Linked DNA regions of Nothobranchius furzeri. The main gene of each other region encodes a partner of the protein of the gene in region 2 in a complex. Links are inferred from orthologs where the notes say so. Each region holds a gene or a part of one and is shown on either strand. Other genes may lie near its edges.

Region 1 (3,651 bases), on a different chromosome or scaffold from region 2:
CAATGTGAAACGCAACGGGCCACTCACCTTGTTGTATTTGCCCATGGCCAGACCGGTGAGGTCACACAGCAGAGCACGCAGGTGCTCCTCAAACAGGCTGGTATCCGTCAGGTTCTCCCCGGTCAGGTTAACAAACTGGTGGGCGTAAACCACCTGTCCTGGAGGTAGTTGCAATAATGACTCAATATAAAACACACACACACAATATACCATATGGTGCGAGTCAACACGGCTAGTTCTTATTTTCTGTCTGAGGGATCTGTCCACGAACCTCGCATCTTCTGACCAAGTGTGTGCAAGATCTCCAGAACCGACCAGTGTACGTCAAGATGAAGGTGCAACAAATGCCAAGAGGGTGGAAGAATCTGTGGGAGGAACGAGCGAGAAGTTAGAGTTCAATGACAGAAAAATCTACAGAGGCTTCGGCTTTCCTCTCATTTGATACGGTTCTCCGAGCTCTGCTACACCCCCCGCTCTTCCCACTTTAAAGCAAGCTGGTTCCTATGCAACACGCCCTCTATACACCGTCTGAGCTGGAGTCTGTTTCATGCAGGAAAAACAACATTCGGCTGTACCCTCCCATGGTTCTGTATGCAGAAGGAGCTTTGAACACTGGCAGGCAGGTCCTTGAGTCGTCCTGTGAGGAGGGTGATGCTAAACAGTTCCTCCAGAAGAGCAGAGGGGAACTGACTCTCCAGCTCCTCATAAGGGTGTGGGTGAGCTGCATCCAGAGACACTGAAGGTTCCAGAAATCTACACAGACCAGACATCCAAATAAATACAGAAATACAGAAACATCTGCAAACACACTGAAATTTTGTTGTTGATGTTGTGAACATTACATTTGTGGATACCTGTGCAAGAAGACTTTGATGTACTGCAGAAACCAAACACACTGTTGTCGAAGGTCCTCAGCCTCATAGTGAAGACTGCCTGCTTGCCCTGGGCAACAAAAACACTTTATATTAAATCCTTACAAATGAAATATTTTAGTCAATTCACGATAAATATTGAGCACCAAATAAACAAACTAGAGCCCGACCGATATATCGGCCGATATTGGGGGCATTAACAGTATCGGCTATCGGCCAAAAAGACGGCCGATATTGCGCTACCTATCCAGCAGATGGCGCCAGCTTTATGAACTCATGTTGTGTGGCTCCACTCCTTTGAACTATGAACACGAATTATTGTTTTGGAACTTTTTATTTATTTATTCTTATTTACGTTTCTTATGTGCAATTATTTCCGGTCCAGGGTGAATAACCAAGTTAACTTCCTCAGAGTGTTACTTTGTTACAAAGCACAAGTATTACGTTTTATTTATTGCTGCATTTTTATTATTTTAATATTCTTAAGGGATCTTCTGTCCCTAAACTTGTGTGTGTTGTTAGATTCCCCAGAGTTAGCCAAGTCAGAAAAAAACATTTTGTAACCAGATGTTTTAGAGGAAGAAAATATCATTTCTATAGCACCTCTCAAGATAAAAATCCTGAGGTGCTTCATAAAAATAAAAAATGTAAAAATATAAAAAATAATTTAGAAAATGGTTAAAAATATATTTCAAATGAGCAAAAAATAGACAACTGTGATTAAAAAACAAAATGTAAAGAAAGAGAGAGTAGAAAAGAGGGAAATCAGTGGATCCTGAGGAAGGTGGAATAGGTGGGGAGAGCAGAATAAAGAGAGAGTGGTGAAGAAGGTCATACAAAAGCCAGCTTGAACAAGTGAGTCTTCAGCTGCTTTTTAAAGGAGACCACTGAGTCCACTGATCTCAGGCTCAGGGGGAGAGAGTTCCAGAGTCTGGGGGCCACAGCAGCAAATGATCTGTCACCTTTGGTCTTTAGCCTGGTGCTGCACAACCAGTAGGCTTTGATCACTGGACCTCAGGGACCTGCTGGGGGTGTAGGGACTAAGAAGATCACCAATGTAAGATGGTGCTTGTCCATGTAAGGCCCTATAGACCAGAACCAGGATCTTGAAATGAACCCTGAAGTTGACTGGCAGCCAGTGAAGCTGGAGGAGAAGCGGGGTGATGTGGGTGTGTTTGGAGGACTTGGTCAGAAGCTGAGCACAGGCATTCTGAACCACCTGTAGACGGTTCAGGGAGGCTCTGCTCAGACACGTGAAAAGAGAGTTACAGTAGTCTAAGCGTGAGGAGATGAAGGTGTGGATAACTGTCTCAAGTTCAAAGCAGGACAGAATGGGACTCAGCTTAGCGATGTTCCTGAGATGGAAGAAGGAAGAGCGAACAAGAGAACTGACATGAGAATCCAGGGTGAGAGCTGGGTCAAAGGTCACGTCAAGATTCCTGACGGAAGGTTTGGTGTGGGAAGCAAGCTGACCAAGAGTCTCTGACTTTGGGAACCAGCTTGTCTGGGGCACAGATGAGGATCTCAGTCTTATCTTCATCCAGCTGAAGAAAGCTCCCAGCCATCCAGGTTTTGATAGAGTCTAAGCAGGTGTGTAACAGCTGCAGCTTAGACATCTCATGGGGCTTAAAGGAGATGTACAGTTGGATGTCATCTGCATAAAGATGGTAGGAGATTCCTTTGAAGGAGCTCAGGATGTGCTGAAGAGGAAGCAGATAGAGGAGGAAGAGCAGAGGCCCCAGCACAGAACCTTGTGGGACACCATGGGTAAGAGAGGTGGTGGAGGACCTAAACTTGGAGATGGCCACAGAAAAGGAGCGCTCAGAAAGATAAGAGGAGAACCACTCCAGAGCAGTTCCTGATAGGCCTACCCAGTCTCTCAGCCTCTCCAATAGCAGGTGATGGTCAACAGTGTCAAAGGCTGCAGTCAGGTCCAGCAGGACCAGAACAGAACAGTCCCCTGCATCACTGTGAGTCAGAAGGTCATTAGAGACCCTAAGAAGAGCTGTTTCAGTAGAATGAGCTCTACGAAAACCTGACTGTAAGCAATCATAGATGTTATGTTCATCAAGAGCAGCTGTGAGTCGTTTAGCCACAACCTTTTCCAAGATCTTGGAGATGAACAGAAGTTTAGAGATGGGTCTGAAGCTGCAATGGAGAGAGGGGTCGAGACTCGGTTTTTTAAGAAGCGGGTGGATTACAGCATTATTAAAGTAAGCAGGGACCTGACCAGAAACCAGAGAAGCATTAATTATAGAAAGCTCGCTGGGACAGATGGACTGAAAAGCACTTTTAAACAAAGATGAGGGTAAGATGTCGAGGGGGCATGCAGAGGTCTTCATAGAGTTAACTAGTTTGGTTAACTCAGGCAAAGAAACAGGAGCAAAGCTATCTAGGATGATGGGCCTGGTTGAGTCGGGAGAGGCAGCGATAAGGCTGAAGGAGAGATGCTAGATCTAACCTTATTGACTTTGTCCACAAAGAAAGACAGAAAGTTCTCACCGTCTGCAACAGAGTGGATGGAGGTTGTAGGAGAGGCAGGAGAGAGAGACGATGCTGCTGATGGTGTTAAACAGCACCTTGGGGTTCCCTTTGCTCTGGGACACCAGGTTGGAGAAATAGGAAACCCTGGCATCTCTGAATGCAGAGTTAAAGGATGTCAGAAGATCCTTTAGGTGCAGCAGATGGACGTGGAGATGGGTTTTCTTCCCCAAGCGCTCAATTTTTCTGCATTGGCGCTTTAGGCTGTGAAGGCTGTCATTAAACCAGGGAGTAGGGT
Region 2 (4,184 bases):
TTTCCTTGTATTGTCGAAGAAAGACTGATATGCTTGCAGGATGTTTATCACGCTGTTGCATAGTCAACATCATAACAAGAATAGGTCCCCACCTGTCGCCGTGGTAGAAGTCAGTTGTCCAGTAATCGGAAGGTTGCAGGTTCGATCCCGGCTCCGGACAGGGAATTCTGCTGTTGTGTCCTTGGGCAAGACACTTAACCCATCTTGCCTGCTGGTGGTGTTCAGAGGGACCGGTGGCGCCTGTGCTCGGCAGCCTCGCCTCTATCAGTGTGCCCCAAGGCAGCTGTGGCTACATCGTAGCTCATCACCATCAGTGTGTGAATGTGTGTGTGAATGGATGAATGATACATTGTGGTGTAAAGCGCTTTGGAGTCCTTACTCTGAAAGGCGCTACACAAGCGCGGGTCATTTATTTACCACAAAAATTGGGTCCTTTGGTGATTCACTTGCAACTTTATAAATCCAGTTTCCTCTTCTCATTTTTAATATTAATTTTCTCAGGAGGACGAAAATATAGTTTTTTAAAGCTTCATTATAATAAGTAGACTAAAATATTGAGTTCTAAACGAATGAAAATATAAAACGTGCAATTTCAGACGCGGGGGAGCAACTCCCCATCATAACTTCCAGAGAATTGTTCTAGCATTGGCCAGGAGAGGGCGCGAAATCCCCGTTCTTTCTAGGCAACAACACATGCTGAATGGCGGTAGCCTGGCCTGCCAGACTCCTCTGTACAGAGAAAGGGTCTGGGAACTCTCCTATTCAAATAACCCCACCCCGTGAGAATTCCAACCGAGCCAATCAGCATCCAGGCTAGAATAGTGGCCCTTGAGGAACCCGGGTGCAACACAACCGTGGGTTTTGAAAGCTGGAATGGTCATTTTTATTGTGTTTTTAGCTACTAAAATGAAATCACTTTTATAATGAGTTTCCCTGTTGCCAACACCAAAATTAAAAATTTAAAGAATTTAGAAAAAGTATTTCTAACTTTTGCAAATTTATAAATCCAGTTTCCTCGTCTCTTTCTACGATTCATCATTCTCCTGCTTAATATTCATATTCCCAAGAGGATGAAAAGAAATACAGTTTTTAAAAGCTTAATTAAAACAAGGAGGTGAAAATATTCTGTTCTAAATAGATGAAAAGGTCAAAATTGCAGTATCTAATTTCAGACACTGGAGGTCAGTCACTCCCCAACCGCCCTTCATCACCACAGACACTGCCACTGAGCAACACCCATTCTTATTTTGCTTTGTAGCCCTACGTAATAACTGTCAGGCGGTTAAAAGCCTAATTGCAGGGAGAAAAAATCAATTATATTTTTACAATTGTTAAATAATATCAGACTATTGAGTTGAAGGGGCGTACTTTGATTGTTGACCGGCGTTCTCATAGTTTGAACCTGGAGTTTATGCCTGACAGACATTACAGCGGGCAGATAAATATTATCGCTTCATTGAGTGACGTTTTCCTGGCGGGGCAATGCGAAACCAGAAACTTGTAAACGCGAAGCTAAACATGAGTGTTTACGCAGATGATTGATACATGTGAATGTTTTCTTATTGCATACAGTCAGAATCTGAGGCTAATTCTAAACGTAGGCAAACGTATGACGTTGCTAAACAGTTATGAGGCAAATGTCCTGTTAACCGCCAACAGGCAGAGCTAAGCTAACGTTTAGCGCGCTGTTTGTCATTCACTACCAGCTGTCAGTTAAACCAATATGAGCTCTTCACGAGAAATCAAACGTAAGTGTTGCTCTATTTACAGCTGATCTGTTGGTTCCAAAAGGCTAAGATGGTTGTTTTGACTGCTCTTCTCTGCAGAGCTGCTGAAGGCAAAAAGCAAAGCCCAGACCAGCAATCACTTAAAGGAGGAAGCCAACATCTGCAACCAGCTAGGAGAGCTGTTGTCCAGGACTGGTATGAACCTCCACAGTTTTATATTTTTTATTATTATCACAAATGTGCTACCATCGCTTTACATCTTTATGTGACACTCTCTCCCACACACTTTCTGTTGCATATTCTCTGCGCCTTTGCAGCCTTAGATTTTATTATTTATCAATTAAATTTGCTCCCTATTTGTGCTGATGCATATAAAGGTTGTTGTGTTTGATCTGTGCATACCTCAGGTGACTACAAGGCAGCCATCAGGGAACATCAACAGGAGCTAGCTCTCTCTGAGGCTCTAAAAGATGTGATCGGACGCGCTGTGGCCCATCGGAAGATAGGAGAGTGCTATGCAGAGATGGGAAACATCGAGGCTGCTTTGAAAGTAAGCAGACTTGAATGCAAAAATGTTTTTTTAATGCATACCTAAAAGGAGTGTCTTGCTTTTTTTTTTTTTTTTGGTTTCCAGCATCAGCATCATCACCTGGACCTGGCTCGCTCTGTCAGAGATCATGCTGAAGAGCAAAGAGCTCTGGCTACCATTGGTCGTACCTACCTGTTCTGTTATGAATCTGACCAATCGAAGAACAGTTTAAAGCTGGCAGAAGATGCTTTCAGGAAGAGCTTGGCCATTGTGGATGAGCGTCTAGGTGGTGTGTATCGATTGTTTGGGTAACTTGGAATAATCGCGCTCTGGTTAGGTGGTTACGTATGAAGGTTCTTTCAACGTTTAGGGATGGTGTCCGAGCGAGAGATCAGTGAGATGAAGGCTCGGCTTTTCCTCAACCTTGGTCTGGTGTGCGATCATCTAGGGGAGCCCAAACGCTGCAGCGAGTTCATCCGACGTAGCGTCTTCATTGCAGAGTAAGAAGAACATCTCAAAACGATCTCCTAATCGTGGTCATAATACGCTTTAATTCATTTGCCCTGCACAAAGTCTTATGATTTCGTCTTGGAACAGGAGGAGCCAGCTGCTAGAGGATCTCTACCGGGCCAACTTTAACTTGGGCAACATCTACTTCCGCAACGGCCAACACTCCAACTCTGTCCGCTGTTTGGAGCAGGCCAAAGAGTGTTCCCGGAAGATGAAAGACAAGTTTGCTGAGAGTGAATGCTTTCACTGCATTGGCAAGGTAGGAGTACCCTTCTACTGTTCGTCACTGCATTTTCACAGGCTCTGATGACTCAGACTCACATCCAGGTGCAGCTGTCTCTGGGGGATTTTGTAGCTGCCAGACGATCTCTAAAGAAGGCTCTACTGTTGGGTTCTCAACAACCAGCAGACAAGCAGGCAGTGAAGAAAGCTTTTAAATATGGTGAGAGGGTTTTTGTTTGTTGGTTTTTGATCGTATTTCCTCACAGATGCATTAACAACATGACGTGTGTGTAATACCGTAGCTGATCGAGGCTGTAGGTTAGAGGAAGAGCTGGGGGAAGATCAGGAGAAGAGTTTCTGCTCCCATCGGGCTGTGGAGCTGTCGGAGCAGCTAGGGGATCTTTACTGTAAGGTTGGCTGCTACAGCAAAGCTCTGGAGGCTTACCAGGCTCAGGTGAGACACCTAAGAGAAAACAAAATGCTCCATTTTAACTTTAGCTCTTGAAATTAGCTGGATTGTAATTTCTCCTGTGAATTAGCTGAAAGGTGCTGAGATGATGGCGAAACCGGCGCGGGAGCTGGCTGTGATCCACGTGTCCCTGGCTGCTACCTGCACAGACCTGAGACAACACGACAAGGCCGTGGAGCACTACAGGAAGGAGCTGGCTTTACGACAGGGCAGCTCTACAGAGGTGCACCTTCACCCCATAACACCAAGATAGATAACTTATTACTGTGGAAGAAACGACAGATTTCCTCTGTTGGACTGAATTAACTAACATATTTGCAGGCATGGTTGTTAAAAATCTACTCTTATTAAATCACAGAGCTTGTTTTAACCAACAGCTAATGCATGCGCATAACTACTGGTGTGTGTGTGTGTGTGTGCGTCAGGAGTGTAGCACATGGCTGAACATCGCAGCAGCTCAGGAGGAGAGTGGCTGCATATCTGAGGACATAGAAGGCAGCTACAGATCAGCTTCACGCTGTGCAGAGGCGTCCGGGGAGGTCCGACTGCAGGTGAGGAAATGTGACATAAAGTATTTAAATAGAAGCAGCATTTTTATCACAGCTTTACTACAGGTCTATGTAAAAGTTCATCTTACGTCCCACAGAAACGCACGCTGAGACTCTGGCTGGCCTTCCAAAGACGGAGCGGCTCATCGGAAGCAGATGACACGGCGGCGAAGCTGCAA

The links. The genes of interacting proteins can lie anywhere in the genome.
Region 1: tonsl (region 2) and mms22l share a complex: the UniProt entries of both Homo sapiens proteins name them as parts of the MMS22L-TONSL complex. The link is inferred for Nothobranchius furzeri from reciprocal best matches to the Homo sapiens genes TONSL and MMS22L.

The regions. Positions count from the first base shown.
Region 1 is NC_091745.1:51,994,499-51,998,149, forward strand, and holds part of mms22l (protein MMS22-like), read right to left. Parts: intron 943-3,651; coding exon 855-942; intron 754-854; coding exon 576-753; intron 366-575; coding exon 272-365; intron 159-271; coding exon 28-158; intron 1-27. UniProt on the Homo sapiens protein: Component of the MMS22L-TONSL complex, a complex that promotes homologous recombination-mediated repair of double-strand breaks (DSBs) at stalled or collapsed replication forks.
Region 2 is NC_091758.1:29,050,973-29,055,156, reverse strand, and holds the start of tonsl (tonsoku-like protein), read left to right. Parts: upstream 1-1,286; 5' UTR 1,287-1,723; coding exon 1,724-1,748; intron 1,749-1,826; coding exon 1,827-1,922; intron 1,923-2,134; coding exon 2,135-2,277; intron 2,278-2,361; coding exon 2,362-2,545; intron 2,546-2,626; coding exon 2,627-2,756; intron 2,757-2,853; coding exon 2,854-3,025; intron 3,026-3,093; coding exon 3,094-3,208; intron 3,209-3,290; coding exon 3,291-3,442; intron 3,443-3,527; coding exon 3,528-3,680; intron 3,681-3,882; coding exon 3,883-4,008; intron 4,009-4,103; coding exon 4,104-4,184. UniProt on the Homo sapiens protein: Component of the MMS22L-TONSL complex, a complex that promotes homologous recombination-mediated repair of double-strand breaks (DSBs) at stalled or collapsed replication forks.